2 linked regions of the Drosophila melanogaster genome follow. The gene in region 2 interacts genetically with the main gene of each other region. Each region holds a gene or a part of one and is shown on either strand. Other genes may lie near its edges.

What was found.
Region 1: of ab (region 2) and bi, changing one enhances a phenotype caused by changing the other (phenotypic enhancement), as found in Drosophila melanogaster (one study listed by BioGRID).

The regions. Positions count from the first base shown.
Region 1 is NC_004354.4:4,407,909-4,418,860, forward strand, and holds the start of bi (bifid), read left to right. Parts: upstream 1-4,947; 5' UTR 4,948-5,012; intron 5,013-5,553; exon of another isoform or gene 5,554-5,991; intron 5,992-10,952. UniProt on the Drosophila melanogaster protein: Essential protein that may function as a transcription regulator. Vital for pupal development. Required for proper development of the optic lobes and wings, and abdominal pigmentation.
Region 2 is NT_033779.5:11,205,924-11,216,534, reverse strand, and holds the start of ab (abrupt), read right to left. Parts: upstream 5,858-10,611; 5' UTR 5,788-5,857; exon of another isoform or gene 5,762-5,787; intron 4,768-5,761; 5' UTR 4,572-4,767; intron 1-4,571. UniProt on the Drosophila melanogaster protein: Expression is vital for development; may be involved in transcriptional regulation. In embryos, muscle specific expression is required for segmental nerve b (SNb) motoneuron target recognition within ventral longitudinal muscles.

The sequences.
Region 1 (10,952 bases), on a different chromosome or scaffold from region 2:
TAGACCCTTAACCCAAACCGCCACTGCGACAAAAAATGCAGAAAAATATTCGGAAAGAAAGCTCCGAAAAATGGAGTTTCAGTCAGAAAAGAAGAACAATGCAACATTTCATAATACGGCTATAGAAATCAGTAATGCCTTCATTCAAATAGATATAGATTGAAATTTTGGATACACACAAAATACACTGTCATTGCAGCATGCCTTCTTCTGCATTATTTCGCCCAGTGTAGCTGATATTTGCGAGGCGGAGCGGAAGCGTCGAACGGAACCTGCATATGTAAGCAAAAGCCAGCGGCGGTTTTTGGGTCCAACCCTTGGAATCTGGAGGGGATGGAGCTGGATCACATAAGGTGGAATGGGCGTCCAGTTGGGGAGGGGCAACGAGTCCAGGACGACAATTGTCGCGTCTAGAGGCACTTACGCTAAATTGCATTTCACTTGTGTATGCGTGCCGGGGAAAAAAGCAAATAACCGTACCGTACTTACCACATACACTGTTCGAAATACTTGAAGATTCGTTATTGCTGGTAAGTAGTAATAAAAGGATGATAGATTCAAAGAGATTTACATATCTAGAGTTGTTGAAACTATCTGACGAAATTCGTAAGTGCTTCTTTCCGCTTGCTTAGCACGCAATGTGTGTGTGTGTGTGCGTTTCGGGCCAACTTAAAACAGCTCAACGCGCATCTCATAATTATCTCCTCGCTTCGCTGCCGTTTTGAAGAGCCACCGCCACGGAGACAGTTTAATAATCGTCAAAATAGCCACCGAGGGGTCAGCAACGAAGCCATCGAACCCACTGTCCCTTCTGCACCAGCAGCCAAGCACCACTAGACGATCTTTTCCAGCCTTTCTGCTTTTTAGCTTGTTGCATGTGACTGCGGTGTCACATGTGTCTTCTATGTGCACTTCCCATCCCATCATCCCTGAGCATACTTCCATACAACCCAATCCCAATCCCCATGCCAATGTCCCTTTCCGTGTCCGTGACGATGTCCGTGTCCGGTCTCATAAGTTGGCCAAACACGCCATCTCCCGGAACTGGGAATCGAGCGTCGAGAAATCATGAGTGTCAGCTGGCCAAAGGCTAACGTTTGACTCTAAGAACTACAGGTCCTGCAACACTTGACTCATACACAAGGAAAGGAGTTTATGATAAAACTGAAGTGTACAAATTATATCACTAATATGACATTGGAGTTTTGTCTTTTGGGAGTCACAATTAAATGCATAAATAATGGTGCTTTGAGATTGGCTCGCAATGTTTATATTATTGAAAAATGAATGGAACAGAAGTGCATTGGAAATATTGATATTGATTAGGTATTACAATTTAAAAACGAATAAAACGTTGTGATTTGTAACGACCAGCAGAGCCTTTGAAGTCGCAATAAAGTGTGAATCATTTATTATCCAGAACATATTCATTTTGCTATTAGATTATATCAGATACATATCAAAAGTCTATATAATTAATTAATTAATTAGCTCGATTGCCTGGTAGAATATATACACGAGTACATTTATTGAAATAGATCGATGGAAGGAATCGTATGGTGGTCAAGTTATCGAGTTTCGTCATTTCTTTAAGCAGATTTTTATAGTTTGATTGGGATTGAAATCAGTTGAAAGGGCCAACTATATTTTTAATTATAATTTTCTTGCAATATAAATGAATATTAATTGCTAGTTTTTCTTGACTTGAAATTATCGTAAATCATTGGCAATGCATGAAGTTACAGCTTATTTGCAGATCCTTTGGCGCAGGAAAGTACTCTTTGCGAAAAGGGCACACCCAACTTCTAATTCCCTGGCGGTTTTCCACATTTCCCTCGCTCATTTTACAAAAACAAAACAATGCAGAGAAGACAACAAAAAAAAAAAGAGAAAAAATGGAGAGACTCTTGTCAATTCATAACTGAAAATGAAACGTTTTCCGCTGGGCTTGTTGTTTGTTTGCAGTTACCATTATTATTGCTACTGCTCCTGCTCTACTACTACTACTACTACTATTATTGCTGCTGTTTTGTTTCATGCAACTTTTACCATAATTGCGGGTAGCATTATGACATCGGGAAGCGACAAGCGAAACGCAACCTGAACATAATTACAACAATTTGTTGTCTAGTGTTTGACAACAACAGCAACAGCAAACAGCAACAAAGGCACAGAGCAAAAAGAAGCCGAGGAGATGATTGTTGTCATGGTTGAATGATGCAACTGGAAAAGGCAGAAAACAGCAGCTACATCGGCAACAAAAGTCACGCACATTGACATTCGCCTGGAGAAACCGAAAAAGATGACACGGTAAGGCAGCCAAGGAAAGGTGGGAAAGCCTGCAGCACGCCCTCCATGCACTGGGCAAAAAAAAAAAAGACATTAGAAATATCACTGGAAAAACGCAAAACTTTCCATGTTTTGTTTGGATTTTTCTGGGGCGTTAAACCTAAGCAATTCAGACTACAAATAATAATAATAAATATTACATATTTTTATTTGGGAACCCAGTATTTGGCCCTTCTTCCTTGCAGTGCAATCCTTCCCCCGAGGACAAGGAAATACATCTGTGGCAATGTGGCAGCTCCTCTGCGATGCTCGTCACACTTCATTTCGACGCTTTCAACGCTTGTTGCGCCTCTAAATTAATTGCCACAGCCTGTGCAGCGCCAAAATTTAATGCAAAGTTTAGCAAATACAAGGAGCAAGTGTATTCCTGACCCCCCAAACGCCACCCTTTTCGTATATCCCTCGGGATCGGGAGCTTCGACTAATTAGCAGGCGAGGCGCAGGCGCCAGAGCTGCGTAAAAAAGTCGGGCTATACGGAATAGCGAATCGGTAGGATATGCGCGCCACATGCCCCATTATCAACAATTGCACATTGCGCCATATTTTACAGTTGATTCTCATCGGCCATGGCAGATGCATTCAGGAACTTCTTACATGTTATTTTTGATGTTCTGGGCATTCGGAAATGGTTTGGCAGAGAAACGAAATGTACCCTCGTTTTTTAATTGCTACACATTTATTTTATAATTATTTTAAATTTAAAATTTTTAAGATTAGTGATCTGGAATTATCAAAAATTCAATATTTGAAGCACAAATTATCCAAAGAAATAACTGACGTATTAATCATTTATTTGTTTTGAATTCAATATTTATCTGAGTTCCTACATTGCGAGCTGTAATTTCATAATCACAGCAATATCTTTTCAACATTTTTCTTTTTTTTTAAAGAAATTTTATTTTTCAAAGTTCTGTGCTTCTATTATTTCTCCAAATTTTAGCTCCCTTTTCCGAATTTGAGCCTAAAATTTCGCGCCAAAAAACCGAATAAAGCCATATAGGTGAAGTGGAAACTGAGAAATAAGGGACACGAGAAGGCACGGAGACGGAAAAGGACATTTTTGCCTGTGTGACAAAATCGCTGACTACGTGTGTGTGCGTGTTTTCCTTCTCGCCATGTAACGCTATCTCGCTTCTACACGCACACACATGAACACAAGCCCGAGACTCCGCCCACTAAGCGATCGCGATGAGATGAGAAAAAAACTCACCACAGTCCGGTAAAAAACGCTCAACTCACTCACTCAGTCATACACACACACACACACATTCACTCGCTCTCCCACTCTTTCTCACCGAGAATGCGCATTCCCTCTGGCACTTGCCTTCTCGTTCTTGCGCACATGAAACTGTGTAAAATGGTCGCCTTGCAGGGGGCGTTGCTTTATGGCCGTCTTTTTCGCACCCATGCGAAAGTGCCGCAGTGTGAGCGAGAGGGAATGCGTTTGTGGATGGAGGTTTTGAAAGCAAGAGTAGAGAAGATGCGACGTTGTAAACGAATTTGCATATTTCTACTGCTTTACGCTTATTGCATATTTTATTCATTACGTTCTGGCGCTTCGGCGGATGAAAACCCAAGAAAAGGCGAAAAGCGAAGGAAAGTGTCATATGGCATTCCGACTACCGTTAGCTCTGCGTGACATCGGTCCTCCCTTTCGCACGCACAATCTTCATCCTTCTTTTTGCTTCTTGTTGAGCTTCTTCCTTTTTTAAGCTTTATAATTTATAAATTCGTTAATATATAAAAAAAAAGTTGCTTAAAATTCTAAATTCTCAGTTCAAGATATAAAAAATTCAACAATTATTCCTACGAAAATCCTTTTAAATAATTTCTTATAAGCTGTTAGCTCAATCTGAATACAGTCCCAACTATCTCTGGTTTTGTATATTTTTTCTGTAACTTAGAATTAATATTTAGTGTTTTTTTTAAAGCTGAGCTTTTTGTTTTTACTTTCATTTGATTACCAAGTATTTCCAACCCAAATATATACATATATATATGGTATATATATTACTTAACTAATAGCTACAATCATATTTACGTCTTAAAAGGATTCTTAGCTGTTTTAATATCTTAAAGCTGTTTCCAGATTTCATATACTTAAGGTCATAACAATGCCAACATCCTAGTTTGTTTTTTATTTGGCTCCTTTTACCCGAAATTGGTTCCACGTATTTCTGCAAATTTGTTTATTTTCGCTTGGCAGCGACTTAATCTGTGCTCCAGTTTTTCGTAGTATCCCCCCCCAAAAAAAATGGACACCATACACACACACATTTAACGGTTAAGCCGTTGTCCTTTTTTCCCAAGAAGTCAAAGGATGCGATTCGAATGTGCGTGAGTTATCCGGCGTGTTGTTATCCTGGCTCGGACCAAATAGGATACAAAAAAAACCTAGCATAAACCGGTTCTGAGTAAGTGCTCAATTACTCACACACACACACACACACATGCAAAGAAGTGCTCACTCAAAACGAAGCGAAACGAGGCGAATTCGTGCCTCTGCCTCTGCCGACGTCGACTGTGCTGCCGTGGTGGGTTTTGTGAAGCAAAGCGTCGAGCAGAGTGGCGAATAGCGTCATTCAAAATTGGAATTCTGTTAGTAAACGTCGACACTTCATATGAAACGAAGAGCGGAGATCACAGCGGAAAATCCAGGGGTGTACGTGGGTTTAAAACGCACAGAGGGATTTCACTCAAAGAAAGAAAGAATACGTTTATACTTATATAGGGTTAGACCAGGAGGGTAGGCTACGTATAAAGACAAGAAGAAGGAAAGCAAAGAAAGAATGGCCTCGCCAAGTAAAGCTGAGAGCATAGAGTGTAGGGATTACACAGAAGGGCTTTAAAAAGAAAATATGTAACCCACAAAATAGCAACTACAAGACTACCCACGACTTGGGTGTCAAAATGCTTGTCATTCGACAGCACGGCGAGGGGGAAAACCTATGCTAAGCTGGCCTTAGCTTTTTTGCCCGCGTGTGGTGAACATAACACGGGCCAACCCACCTCCCCCCACGCGATGGGGATTCCCCACTTTCGCATTCTGCCGGCGTCGCTGCGAACGTCGCTGCCGGCTTCTTGCACTTTGGCGCTCGGCGTCGTCTTGGCCCGGTTATTTGTTGTTTTTTTTTTTTTTTTCGTTTTTCGGGCTTTTCGGCTTTTTGGATCGTTCTCGGCCAGCAGTCGCCGCCTGTCACACGCTCACGTCAAACGCTTTTGCCGTCGCGTCGTCAGATAAACCAAATGTCTCGCCGTGTTTACGTGTGATTCCCCTTTTTTGCTTCAATCCGAAGGCAAAATAAATACACTGACCTTAACCGATACGGCTCACCGTTTAACCGCTAACCGTTAACCGTTTCGTGGCCGTCGACGATAAGGAATCAAGAAACAACATCACCCTGCAGATTCTGTTTTGTTTTGTTTTTTTGTGCAGTCCAGAATTTTTTGAAAACCTGACAAGATTAAAGAAAATTGTGTTTGAAAAGTGCGTAAAGTGTGGAGTATTTAAACTTAAAAAAAAAAACATATATAAAAATCAAACAACAGCAAGGTGGGAGGTCCAAAGAATATAAATAAAAAACACACTGGTTTCCGCCTGAGATTTTCAAAATACCGTTTCAGATCATGAAAACATAATGGTATACAAATATATTATGTTTATGCTGCCCTTGGAAATAAATAGTATACTATCAAAAAAATCTACTCCTTGGTTTTTCCCTACTTGAGAAATGAGAAATTTACAAACATTAAATGTAGAACTACTGATAATTACTTTCAATATTTTGGTGATCCAATGAGTTAATAGGAAAGTCCTTAAACAAAGCGTGGTGGAACTCCTTCCCATTATGATAATCACATCGCATAACACCAGGGAGATTGTCTAGATTGATTGATCCAACCCCCAGGAGATTCCCCATCCCGATCTGCTCAAGCGCAACGAAATCGGAACCATTATCCAATTAGCTAACTCTTTCCGAACCCGTATCATCAGTTTATCGCCTCGTCAATTGTTTTCTCATACTTTTTTCGCTACTTAACTGATGTGACAATTTGTAGCCATTAGCCGGAGGCAGTCAGTCAAACAGTCGCTAGATTTGCAAGTTGTTCAGGCATGACAAAACAAAAAAGAAAAAAAAAAAAAAACTATATATATGCAATGTATGGCGATGGATAAGGGGGGGGGGGAGAGTTGGGGAGCGGGGTTCCGGAGACGAGATCACGATCGCATCTCGACACGCAGCTAAAAGTGTAAATCAGCTCGCCTTCCATTATGTCAACAATCTCTTTGTCTGTCCGTATTATTTACATTTGTCAAATCAAATTTGACAGCTGCGGAAAACATAATATCTCAAGTCGGCGTCTGCGGCACAGTCCGGTTTTTTGTATGGGGCCTTATTCAATAGGGAGGGGATCAAGGGGATTCGCGGAGGAGATCGTAGCCGCCTAGGACCACCGATACAAACTTGTATTCAGAACTGGATTTGTCGCTTCGCTCTGTTGTGCCAAACGAACTGAGCCATGAACACAAGAATGAATACTTGGCCAAGCACTCGATCAATCTGGTCTCACACAAAGTTCTTTCACTTGAAGATGTACAAAAATAATTAGACATTTTTCTATTTATCTATTGTTATACGGAAAAGGATTTAAAACGTGCAAACATTTTGACTACTTGTTCTAATTTCGAAATACTAAGCCTGAAAATCAAGGATATTTATAAATCTAATATTCCAAGCCACTGGCTATTATCATTCGCGTTTACAGAGCAATGTTTTGTAGGAAAGGATTTTCCCCAGCACCAAAATAATTTTCTCTTTCGAGTAGTTTATTGCACTGCTTATTAGCGATTAGTGACTTTTATGACTGTTTAGAAACGTAGTACTCAACCCTTTTCGAAAGTAGGTAACAACCCTTAACCATTTGTATTACATATTAGAGAATGTTTTCTTCTTGTTTCCGAGGGAACATGCATTTTCTTTTTGATCCTCATTTAGTAGGGATTACATTATTACACAGTTGGAAATATATATTGTCTTGATCGAATTACGGAATTAAGTGTTATATATACCTAAAATAGTTCCAAAATACCACAACACATAATACCTATATCTTTTGCTGACTTCACCAATTAATTGGTGAGGTTTCCAGTCGGGGTTGTTCGTTGGTAAGCTGCTAACGGACTTATGACATGGATATGGCTATGATTCGGGAATCACGATTCAGTATTCCGTATTCCGTATTCGGTGGGGTATGTACTGTGTACTCTGCTACTATAAAATGCCAGCTCCATTGTTGTTGCTACAACCGGCGGAAGAAAACGGAAGAGGGGATTGTATTTTTTGGATTTCGGGAATTGGGAATGGCCTGGATGCGGCACTTATCCTTGTTTTTTTTTTTTTTTTGGGGTTGAAGGCAACAAACACACTGCACACTTAACCGATAAATACGCACCACATCTATATTATATGTGTGTGTACATACTCGTATATGGATGCGTGTACGTTTGTACATCCGATGGACAGATCCTTTGTATCCTGCTATCCTGGCTCTATCTATTGACTGACTAACACGCCAGCTGACTTGGCAGGGGAGGAAGAAGCCAAGCGCTGGGGAAGTAGAACCTGGTCCTGCTGTCTCGTGCAAAGCTGACTGACATCCAGCAACTTCCTTTGGCCTCAGACTTCAGCAGCACTCACGCAATTTTCCTCCACACAAAAACCCCCACCTAGCTGATGATGGCTTGCCGGGGGTGGTTCTCATTCGGGCGATTTTCCAACGTGTTGTAATCCCATTTGCAGGATTGCGGATTCAGGAATCAATTACGAATTTAATTTATAAGCAAAGCTCGGTGGAAAACTCAAGAGAATCCAACCCACAGCTCGTAGCTCGTAGCTCGTAGCTCGTAGCTCTCTCTCTCCTGGCAAGGGTGCGTGTGCCTGCAGGTGGGTAGAAATTGTATATAGTCAGCGGGAGGATGCTACTTGTTACGGGATCAAATTGATTTCGATGGAGATTGCTCTCGAAAAAACTCGAGGCACTTCATCGAGCCTTTTGATGGCGTCCAAAAAGTTTTCTGAGCTCGCAGCTGTCAAGTGCAACGTTGCCCCTTCTCGAAGATTTTCCACCCACCGTCTGACAATGCCAGAACTAAAATTCCTTTTCATACTTCTCATCTTCCTAGCATTTTTTTTTTTGTTATTTTTATTTTCTTTTCTGTTGGAAACATTGCTGGAATGATTTGGCCGCGGACATAAAAAAAAAAGTTTAAAGTCTTGGCAGCTGAAACAAACTCCGCCTCTGATTTTCTTTTTTTTATTTTTTTTTATTCCTTCTGTTGTGTTTTGAGTGGCTGTGCATAATGTATACAGCAAATTTTTGTCTAACAATTTGGCGCATTTTCACGCGATTTTTCTTCTTTATTTGTTTGTTTGCTGCTCCAGAGGGTTATAAAAATAATATATATGCAAGAAAGGAAAAACACTTGACAGTTTCCTTTCGCTTTAATTGCTATGCAAATTGCTAAGGGGAAATGCTTATTCAAAAGGATTTAGCATCCTTGGTTTTATTGTGCGCAAACTAAAGTTACGCTTTGCTGCGGATTTGTATGAAAAGACCTGACAATTCTCGTTAACTTCCCAAGCGGTTTTTTGTTGTGTCACATTTTCTAATTAGATTTAAACAAAATGACAGGGAAATAAGAGACCACACCGAAAATTGTGAATACTGACATCTTTTAAAGTTCTTACAAATTGCAATGTGTCGAACATCAAATCGCAAGATGCCAACTATTTTAGGATTGCAACTATAAAGGATTCAGTTGCCATACGTTTCTATTGCAAAATATATCTACAAAAATCAATTCGATTCCATTTCTTTCCTTCCATTTAATTTGACTTCTCTTTATTCTCGGTCTTGTCTCGGCTTTTATTCATTTATTTTCTTTCATTTTCTTTTGATGGGGAAAAGCTCAAACCGAGCGCAACTTTTTATGACAGCATCACTTGGCACTTTCAATACAATATCATAATGGCCAAAAGGAGCTTAGGAAAGTAGGTGAGGTTGAGTGTAACTAAAGTGTATTTCTATACCAGCGCCGACGCCTCGATTTTTGCCATTGTCTGGCCCTCTCTCTCTCCCACACACCCACTGTTTGCCATTCCATCTCTGTCTGTTACTGACTTTTACATTAATGAGCATGTTTTTATTTATAAGTGTTCTTTTCTTCTCCTCACAGCATTCCTAGCCATTCTCTGCAGTTCGCTTTGTTCGCCCACAAGCTTTGTTGTAACGCCCTGCATGGTTCGCCATAAACTCCCATTCGTGAAAACCCCACGAAAGACCCCTTCAAAATTTTCCACCCGCTGCCCTTTGGTTTGACATTTTTACTGGATATTTATTTTTTTTCGGGCTCTCGGACAACGCTCGATTTCATTTGATGTGCCCACTGGCGCGTCCATTTGGTCAGAATCATTTAGCTGATTGGTCAGAGCAATGATAAGAAATCGGGGAGATCACAAGAGAAAAGGAGATGCAGCAAATATATATCCAAAGATACTAAGCAATTCTATATGACAAGCATATATCCATAAGCGCATGCATTTCTATATGAAAAGTTGTTGTGATAGAATGGAACAAGGATTTTCAAGGATTATATTCTTTTCTTTAACTTTTGAAGATCTCGCAGAAATCTTCATATCGCATATCTCGAAGGAGATCCAACAACTCCAGCGGCATTCCATTAGTCAGCACGCAAATCGCCCGCCTTGGCGGCCCTCCAACTTCGATTTGAACTCCGGGGGCCCAGTGCAGTGTTGTTGTTTACCCATCGCACCTATAAAAGAGCCAGTGTTGGATACGGTGATTACGGGGGGGGGGGGGGAGAGGGGGTGGGTAAAAGTCCAGAGGGTGTGTTGACCCTTCTCTTTGAAAACTTTGGCATTTTCTTGCGCTTGTTCTTGCGGCACATTCACATGCTCTCCCGTCCATTTTAGCCATTGTGTGGCATAATTGCTGAACGCGTCGTCAGCCTGGCGCCTTTTTTATTGCAACGCCCCTTTGGCCAACACCCCATACACTCATGGAGTCATGGACTCAACAGCTCACCAGCTCACCAGCTCACCAGCTCACCAGCTCACCAGCTCACATACCCGAGCACACACACAGCCACACTCACTCACCCATACACATCCAATCCGACTGGCAAACAAACTTCGGCACACACGCACACAGCCGCAGGACCTGTAATGAGCTTCTGCCTCAGCTTTTCCAGCTTTTCCCTTTTCCGCTGGTCAGTGCAGCGGCACTTCAGGTTGCACTCGGCTATGTATGCATGTATGTATGTATGTGTGTATGTACTACCCTCTAAATGGAGCTCTAGAGATGATCAATTCTCGATACAAGGATCGATGGCTTTGGGACTTGTGATATTTCAACTGAGATCGCATATTAGAGATCTTCATTTTGTGAAATGCCTATGAATTCGAAGTTTAACATATATAATTTAGTATGAATGTTAGCAGAACTTGCTAATATTAATAGATAACTGAATATGAAATATTCGCGCCATTCTGAACAACTAAACTTCCCAGTGTATTACAAA
Region 2 (10,611 bases):
TGCCTGTTGTTCAACGCAATCGCCAAGCTTGGATACTTCCCTCAAAAATGGAAAAAGTCGACCATAGTAATGATTCCAAAGCCAGGAAAAGATAAAACGCAGCCATCATCATATAGACCGATAAGCTTACTAACATGTCTTTCAAAGCTGTTTGAAAAAATGCTACTCCTTCGGATTAGCCCTCATCTTAGAATAAACAACACACTTCCAACACATCAATTTGGCTTTAGAGAAAAACATGGAACCATCGAACAGGTCAACCGAATCACGTCAGAAATTCGTACTGCTTTTGAACATCGAGAATACTGCACAGCCATTTTTCTAGACGTCGCGCAGGCATTTGACAGAGTGTGGCTCGATGGACTTTTGTTTAAAATAATCAAGCTGTTGCCCCAAAACACACATAAGCTACTGAAGTCATACCTATATAACAGAGTGTTTGCAATAAGATGCGATACAAGCACTTCACGCGATTGCGCAATCGAAGCTGGAGTGCCGCAAGGCAGTGTACTGGGTCCAATCTTATACACCCTGTATACGGCGGATTTCCCCATAGACTACAATCTAACAACCTCCACGTTCGCTGATGATACCGCGATACTCAGTCGCTCGAAATGCCCAATAAAAGCCACGGCACTCCTATCCCGACACTTAACATCTGTAGAACGATGGCTTGCCGACTGGAGAATTTCAATAAATGTTCAAAAATGCAAGCAGGTTACCTTTACCTTAAACAAACAAACATGCCCACCACTGGTCTTGAATAACATATGCATTCCACAAGCCGACGAGGTAACATATCTGGGAGTTCATCTGGACAGGCGGCTCACTTGGCGCAAACATATAGAAGCCAAATCTAAACATCTTAAACTTAAAGCAAGGAACCTCCACTGGCTCATAAATGCTCGCTCTCCACTTAGTCTGGAGTTCAAAGCTCTTCTATACAACTCCGTCTTAAAACCTATCTGGACTTATGGCTCCGAGCTGTGGGGCAACGCATCCAGAAGTAACATAGACATTATTCAGCGAGCACAGTCAAGAATTCTGAGAATTATCACTGGAGCGCCGTGGTACCTTCGGAACGAAAACATACACAGAGACCTAAAAATCAAATTAGTAATCGAAGTAATAGCTGAGAAAAAAACGAAGTATAACGAAAAGCTGACCACCCATACAAATCCCCTCGCAAGAAAACTAATCCGAGTATGCAGTCAAAGCCGGCTGCACCGCAACGACCTCCCAGCCCAGCAATAAACTTATTAGGGCATTAATGAAAAAAAAAAACTATCACTAAGTGAAAGTTAATTAAGTTAGATTAAGATTTGAACACTTATTGTTAGTCTCTTAACACAAAGGGAAGATTCAATAAATAATAAAAATTAAAAAAAAAAAAAAAAAAAAAAAAAAAATAGAATATTTCATATCTAGTTGCGATTCAAATTATTTAAAACTAACCAAAATCCTAGAGTATCGAACTTAATAACTGTAACTGTATCTTTTACCTTTTTTTCATAGTTAATTAAAAGGACAGCCAGTTCGTACACTTTAGCGACTGTCCACTGTGACAGCAGCTTCAAACTTCGAATGTTTACGTTGGCTTACGTTCTCAATTGGTGTCGTTAGGAGTTCTCGAAGAAGAAGTGCAAATATTTTGATGAGAATATTTCTCCAAATCGATGCGATGCAGCTATGTACATATGTATATTCCGCTTAAGTCCCATGCTCCTGCAATAATATTTTCGAAGGATCTTTTTGTTTGATGATTTACATGGCAGGTAGCATTGAGAAAGTGCCACATCATTTTCATTTTCGCTGCACTTTTCGTGCACTTTGTGAGCGATTTACTGATTTTTGTGATTTTGTGCCAACTCATGCGGCAATCGCGATACTTTGGGCCAAGGCGCCGCCGTCGGCGAGTGAGAAAGGCGAACGTTGGAATCGAATGGCTTGGCCAGGTCCTTAGAGTCCTTTCTCCACATTCCTTTGTTTCTTGGCCCGCTTCACTTCTTTATTCTCGAGCGGAACTTCAATTACACATTTGCTCACATGCGAAAAAGTGAAAAGTCACTGGCCTGTCATGGGCCAGAAATCCAAATCTCATCTACCGACGGCATTTCTTTTTGGACCTCTCACACCCAAATCTCCACCCATCATTGAGTATCTCGGCATTTGGGCCACTTGGAAATCTCCTTTTTTTATGCCCTGCTCCTTTACATTTGATTGGAATTGTTGTCGTTTTGGTTGCGGGTCCTTGGCTAATGGCGACTGAGCATTTTATACCCTTTTTCGCAGGCAATAAAAACATTTTCTTTTTTGGCCACAAAATAATGAATAATATGAAGAAAAATACTTGCCGCAGCCGCGTTCGTTTTTTTTTTCCTTCTTCTGGAAAACAGAAAACGCATTAAGTGCGCGGTTTCCATTGTTTATAACATTTTTGCCACCCCAGAGAAGGAGGCAAAGGGATAATTAAGAATGCTTATTTATCTAGAACGCAGTCACGGCGCCGATTGTCCAGCTTCCTTCCACTTTTTTTTCATCTGACCGCAGGGGGGCAGAAACCCCATGAAAAGGTTCGTAAAAAGCCAAAAAACTTTTATTTTTTATGATAAATTATATGGAGTGTGGGGCAAAAGGATGCGGAGAAGACGGCGCCAACCAAAGGTCATTCGAAAACTGGGCAGGAAAAAAGTGAGAACCGAGGCTGAAGAATGATTTGAGACATAATGAAATAAAGCAGAATTTTAGAGAGAAGATGACGGCCAAAATGTACTTATATTCTGCACTTTTTCATACAATCTAAGCTAAGAGCAAAAGGTTATTGCACAGAATATAATTACAGAACTGAAGTAATGAAATAAGCTCTCAAACTCTGTGAGCAAATTTGTTAAGCTATGCGTTAAGTTTTAAAATAGTAATTATGGAATAAGAAAAATTTGTAAGCAACTAATAGGAGGTTCTTTATGCGAGTATTTGAATATGTAATGACTTTTTTGAATTCTAAATTGATTCCTGCTTACCTAATCATGCTTTAGGCCCTCAAACTAAAGTCAAAGGTCACCTGTTCTTGGACATTTACCAAACACTCGCAAGTGTTCAACCTAAAAATGGGTTTTCGGCCTGTGCCGCAGATTTTCTCCGCTAATTAGCCGGGCCGAAAGTTGGCGAGTTGAAAATTACCCAACACAAAAAAAATCTAAGAAACGGAGCTGGAGAATCGATGCCGGTGGGCAGCAGCAAAAGCAGCAGCGCACACGCAAATCACTTGTTTTTATGTAATTAACTGCTCAGCCCCCCAGAAAAGGCCATCGAAGTTTCTTCGCCGGAGGTTAACGGAGATTTGGCCGGGTAATTAACCAAAAACCGATCGCTTCTTGCCGCGTCTAAAGTCGAAGTTTTTGGCATAATTTCCAAGTCCGACGATTTGCGTTTTCGGCTTGTAAAAAAATCTCTTTCTGGTATTGGCTTCTTTTGGCCGTTCAATGACCGATAAAATTGCCTCAACCATCGCGACCAACTCGACCGACTCCATCGATGCCTTTTAGCGGGCTATTGATTATTAATATTTTCTATTTTTCCCTCTCTTTGTGTCTTTTTTCTGGTTAGTTGTTCCCAAACCCCTTTTTTTTAACCATTTGCTGTAATTACAGCGACGCGTTAATTGTTCGCCCCCTTGACCCTTTTGTTTCCCAGCATCCCCGGGTTTCCACATCTACGTATTTGTGTTTGTTTTCAACGGGCCGGTGAAAAATAAAAACAACACTCGCCCAGGCGAGGAATCTACACTTACGCGATGGTGTTTGGTGTTGGGTATCGCAGACCCCCGACTCCGAGACTAAATCCAAAAATTCAGTCGAGAGTCAGGTTCATTAGCTGCTATTACCATTATTGGCCATAACACACAACACTACCTACCTATGGGTGCCACAGCACTACTGCCTCCAAAAAAGTTGGCAATTACTGCACACGAAAATTCCCCCGAAAACGTTTTCCCTAAGTTGCAAGATTCATTTATCAAATCGCAAGAGGACACCAACTATTCGGGTCTGTCTTCAAGAGCAGCAGACCAATCAAGAAAGCGTGTAACACCAAAAAATACATAATTTTCTTAGATTCACACATTTTGGCCAACTAGTTTAAAGACAATTCCAAATGCTGACGCCTTTTGTGAGCCCGATTTTGTAAGCCATTAACTTCGGTTTACGATCACTGAGAGAGATCGCAAACAAAGATCGCGGTCATAAAACATTTGTTAACCTAATTCAATTTATGTAAAACAAAATCATGACATATAAAGTTATAAAAGTCTAGGGAAGCGAGAAAGTTCTATTTTACTACGATTTTAATGTGATCTAGTTAAACAGCTTAAACGATTTGATTCTCGTTTGGTTTCGTTTCCAGAATATTAGTTACATTAAATTTAAGTAAATCAATAACTTAAAATTCATATACTGTCAGAAAACAAACATTGGAACTAACCCCAAAGACTTCAACGATCAAATTCCCTGTTAAAAAGTTGCCATCCAAGCAGATTCGTACATACATTTCCAAGAATCAGTTTTAAAACTTACCGTTTGCACTGTTGATTTCTTAATCTTCTTTTTGAAAATTCACGATGATTGCTGAATTTGTTGTTGTGATGCCACAATTGTAAAATTTGAACACTTTTGAAACACTGAGGGTTATTTTCTTTGGGTATTTCCCTTTATGAATTTGTTTTCTTTAAAGCCGATTTTGAATTTAGTTTGATTTTTCAACACTGCACAACTGCAATCACAATAAGAACAAAATGAATGAGAATCGCTGGCAAATCAGAGAGCATTTTCCTGGGTTTTCCGAGAAGCGGAAAACAAACGAAACGAAGTAGAAGAAAAACGCCACAAGAATAAGAAGAAGACGAAGAAGCCGTCGCGCTGCACTTGCGATTTTTGTTGTTTTTGTTTTTTGTTTCGTGCGCTCTTTTTCGCAGCGAGTTTCGTGTTCTGGTTTTATTTTCTCTGATTCTGATTGCGATTGTGAATCTGGTTCTGTGTGAATTTCGTTTTTATTAATAAAATGCACAACTTCCGTTATTAATTTTGCAACGACAACAATTGCTGCGTGTGTGTGTGTGTGTGAGTGTTTGTGTGTTTGTTTGCGGATTTGTGACAGCCGCTGACAGGCGAAAAGCAAAAGCAACAAAGTGACAAGCATGAGCGTGTGTCGCCTAGGAGGAAAAGCGGAAAAGCAAACCGAAAAATAATAACAACAAAAAGTGGGCGACAAACGGGCGGTGGGCGGCAATCGAACGGTACAACCTGTCCGCTTTTTTACAACCGCCCCCACTTCCCCCGTTTTCTTCAACGATTTCGCTCCTGTGCACGCGACTCGCGCTATCTCGCTCTTTTGTTGCGGTTTTTTTTCTGCCTGTTAGCTGCATTCATTCATAAAAATCGGGTTGTAAAAAAAGAACAGCGGCAGCAGAAAAAAACGTCGCTGATTTTATTTATTTATGCCAATTTGCCGACGCGTCGCCGCTGCAGTTCTTGTTGTTTATAGTTTCGCACTAGGAACGGAAGTTTCTTGGATTTATTTCGAAAACAGTTAACAGCACCAAGTTTATTCGTTCCAATTCGGGTTTATATGCATTTTAATAGTTTTTCGTTTTTAATTTATTTTTATTTTATATTACAGTTCTTTGTTTTCTTTAGTTATGTTATGGTTTGTATTTATTTAGTTGAGAAGTTCAAATTCAGTTGTCTCTGTGTTTCTGATAGTTTACTAAGCCATCAAAACACTGAAAATCACATATAAGCCAAATTAGCCGCACTTGAACCACGACACTTGCTGCCCGTCTGATTTCTGAAATTGTACTGCGCGTAATAAGAATTCCTGTTTTCGTAAGCGGTAAGTAAAATCCGACGCACTCTTCGTCGGCTCCACGTTCGATGTTCGAAGTTCGACGTTCGATGCTCGTCGTTTGACGTTCGACGGCGAACATGTTGCATGCAGCGCGTCGGTGGTTTCTCACTCGTTTTTTTTTAGCCCCATCCTCCTCCAACTGGCCAACACACTCACAGACACACACACACACACACACACTGGCGCACAAGGGGGCTATTATCTAAGCCATACAATCAGATTGTGTTTACTTTTCCAACCGGGCAAAGTGGCAAGGTGAAGACTGCAGAGAGCCCGAGAAGAAAGAAAGACGGACGGCCGACCAATTGAATTGCAGAATTGCCAGCGCTTTCTTGGCCAAAAGTTTTCGGTAGAAGAGAGCAGCCCGAGTTTTTGATTCATTGGGTGTTAAGTGCGATAAAATGTGCGCTCTCTGATAAATTATAGTTTCCATAAATAAAGTAGCATTTCATCGAATTAAGTTATTTCTCAGTCTGAAAAGGAAATGTAAAATGTAAGTTTAAGTACAAAAATAAATATAAAAATGAACTAACCCTAATTTTTGAATTAAAATATACTTTAATTTACTTTAACTTTACTTACAAAAATGTGGACCAAATAAGAAAACAAACTAAGACACAAGCATAACTTTAGTCATTGGAATGCACTGTAGTTGTGAGACGGATTTCAATAAATCATTTGACCTTATTTGAAATTGTAATTAAAATGACGCAGCTAAGGAAAAACGTTCAAATGTGCAAATTACTAAATTTTCTAAACGGATGTCTAAACGAATGAATGTACACAGATATTTGTCCAATAATAGTGTAATTTAACAATAAGGCTAAAGATACATGAATATACTTAATATGATGTATTTTCCCTAACCATACTTTCCTTAGATATGCGGAGCTTTATGGTAGAATAATAATTCAAAAAAAGGAAGACAGTTCCGTGGAGAACTGGAACCGCACCTTAATCTTGCCCTCCTCCGATTTCTCGCAGTAGCCGCCCCTGCAGGAAGTCATTAAGCTGCCTGAGGCTGGAATAAATAAAGTTTGTCTCCCACTTCGGCAGACGCTAAAGCTATGAGGTGCCACCCCTCGGCAGATGCAACTTTATTAAAGTCGACAAAAACAAAATAAATTTACGTGTAAAAACACTCCAAATGGCAGAACACCGAAATTGTCGCCGCACCACCAAACATCCCAACGATCCACAAATGCACAGAGTTTCGGATGCAACGATCTGTAGATGCAGCTACAGCTTCCCAAAAAGGGAGCGCAAGTTGGTGGCATGCGGCAGCTAATGTATCTAATAGATACACGACAGCACGTCAAGCGCTTCCATTGGAGCGAGGTATGAAATTGGTTGGGCGGAGGAAAGTTCCATACCCAAACTCAATGGGTATATAATCTTGCACTATAAGAAAGAATCTAGAAAATTTTTCAATGTTTAAGAATTCTTCTGCAATTCTGTGTTAACTACTCATAATATATCTTGTTAATTGTTATATATAGCTAACAATTCTTGCCTTTTAGGATATCAAAATGTATTTCATAATTAAAAGATTTCCACTACTTTATCTCAGTGTAGCGGGGCTGAATTTCTCATTCTTCGCTTCACTTCGCTCCACCTTAGTTTTATGTTTGGCCCCACCTCCGCTGCATTCTCTTCGCTTCTCGTGCTTCTCTAATTAACATTGGGATTGTAGTACGCTTTTAATTTATATCTTATTGATGCCGGCGACATTTGTATTTATTTTTACCCACAAGCACCCCCCCCCCCCTCCACTCTTCCAGGGGCAAGAATGGGTGGTGGTGGTGTGTAGGTACTGTCCAAAATTCACTTCCCAAATCTGTTTCTTCACCGCCCCACCGCATCCCATCTAGTTGTGTGTGTACGTGTGGAATGTTATTTTTATCGAGAGTGAGTGAAAAAATTGTGGAAACCTAAAATTTATATGGAATAGGTGTCGCCGCGTCTTTATATTTTGGGTATAATTATTGTTAATATTTGTTGCTGCCTCCGCCCCTGACAGCCCCCCGCTCGTTCACTTCTTCTCTGCTCGTCTCTTTTTCCTTTGTTGTTGTTATTTTTTATCTATACTCTAATTAAAATATTCGGATGTATGCGCTTAATATATGTCTGTGCTCATATATGTATATATATAAATATAAGCATGTACATATATTTTAATGCCACGATCTGTCTAAATAATCTCGTACGCATTTCAATGGTCGAACAAAAATTGCTTGGAAAAAATGAAACTAATAAGAACAACAACAGTTGAATTCGTGGGTGGTTCAAGTTTATTTTTAATAAAAAGAATCAGTATTTTCAGGTTGCTTTTAATGGATTCTGTTTATGACATTTGTGTGATTTTGATATTATTTTAGTGGTGCATGTATATAAAAGCTGTGTTGGTCCATTGCTCACATTCTGCGTATGTACATATTTTAATTTAGTTCCACAAATAATACAATACAATTATTAAATGAAATATCTTTAAATATTTCAATATCCTCTGATTTGTCCAAAGTAAATAACGAACCAAGAGTGTTTTCTCTACAAATAAATACAAAACTATCTAATTTCTATGCGTTAATGTTTTCCTTGTTAACAGTGATATATAATTGATCAATAATTATTCAGTATCCACTTATTTTTCATCTCAGATTCCTCTGTTCTGCCTTCAATGGAGTCATCCAAGTTGGGTACTCCAATGCCTAATAGGGGGATATATCAGCCATGGAATGAAGACGCCGATCTGTTGCACACGAGGCAAATGACATTTCATTTATCTTGCAGCTCGTGCAGCAATTTCAAGCGGGTTTTCCTGGAGTTTCCCCAACGGATTAGTGGGTCGGGGAGTGGGGGGGGCTTAGCAGTTGCGTTGGCGACCAGCATTCGATGTCAGCGGATGAGTTATTGACACTCGAAGCTGCGTCCCATAAAGCTCTCAGTTCCGGTGATCTCGGGCTGAGTTATCAATGTGAAAAATAGAAACATGATTATGAAATTATCAAAAGAAATGCGTGTACGTGAAAAATTGGTTGGGGGAGGCAAAACGCCGAGCAGCAGAAGGTGTGAGTGAGGCGGGAATTGAGAGCCATCTTCGGATGGGTGGCGCTTTCGTTTTGCTTGAGTTTACCCCACAGTCTTAGATTGGATGGAATTTGTAGACCCAACGGTAGCATAATTAAATTCAACAACTTAAACTATCACTGTATAATGGTTGCGATTTGGTAAACACCCTGGAAAACAAAATTCAGCTATAAGTATTTGGATTTACTGAGCTAAAACAACATTGTTTGAAAAGAAAGCCTTACCACTTAGATCCTTTATCCTAAAAATTTATAAAATCCTATGCAATATCCATTTCCTTTTTTTTTAAATTTATATTTATACTACTTAAGTATTCATTATTTGTAGAGGTAAACTATCTATCTAGTAACCACCATCTGTAATTTAGGAGCATTCCGTTCATTTGAGCCCCAGCAATCTTAGCCTGCCTACACACACACACGCGACCTTCCATCTCTCTCTTCCACATTGTTGCCCTCCTTTTCTATCGAACGTGTGTGGACAATAGAAATGATCAAGGTAAATATGACTGTACATATGTACATACATTCGTTTATTTGTACCGCTCAACTCACCTTGCGGCGCACGAATTAAGACCCGAAAGAGCGAGAGAAAGATCGAGAGAGTGTTTCCATCGGTTTGGTTTTTTTGAAGATGATACACGAACCATGAATTTAATTATGATAAAGAAAAAACAATTTTATAGCCAACAAAAACACGCAAATAAAGGCTTATAAGAGTATTAGTACTGGTCAGCGTGGTGTATTTGTATTCGTGTGGGTACAACCTAGGTTATTATGTAAAATAAGTTGGAAAGCGTCTGGATAAATGGGTACTTTGCTGTGTATGAGTGAGTAGTATTCGATGGTGTGTGCTTTATATGCATGAAATATAAGTTGGTCGGCCATCGCAGTCTATGGATTAAGTGCCGTTGGCTCTATTACTCTCCACATTGAAAATCCAAAATGGCGGCGATCGCGATCGCATTGCACAAGGTACAGTTGCCTCCGAGCTTAGAGGGCATAACCGCATAAAACCGACTTGAATACGTATTACGCAGTCTGTGAAGACGTGGTTTTTGAAATTTCGAATTACTGCTGCCGGTTTTATCCATCCGAAACGAGATGTAAATTAGGATGCTATGTAAATTTCCGTTTAATATATGATGGATACGTATTTGTTAGTTTTACGTAGGCTAGGTATTGAACATTATTACTTGGCAGGTTATATTTAAAATATCTTATGCCCTCTAAATTATTATAACTATATAAATATGCACAATATGTCAGCAGTTAGAAATTGGCAAGTATGTTTCAAAACATGATCTCTGTGAAATGCGTACGTTTGCATTAGCTAGGATTTAAAAATTGATTTAACGGGGCTTGCTTTAACTGCAAAGAAATCATTAAACTAAAACTTAAGCTCAATAACCTGTCGAAAATTTCTTTGCAGCCGAACGTGGAATGAAGCCAAGACACAAGATGCGAAGTGAAAATTGAGTTGGGTCAAGCTGCTGCTAATGCTGAGCTACCGTAACACATTAAAATTATCTAGTAATTCCTCCTCGCCTTCAATTAGTGACCTGGCCGGGCAGGCAGTCAAGTCCAACGGTTGTAATTCACCCATCAGCGCCAGAGTTGAATG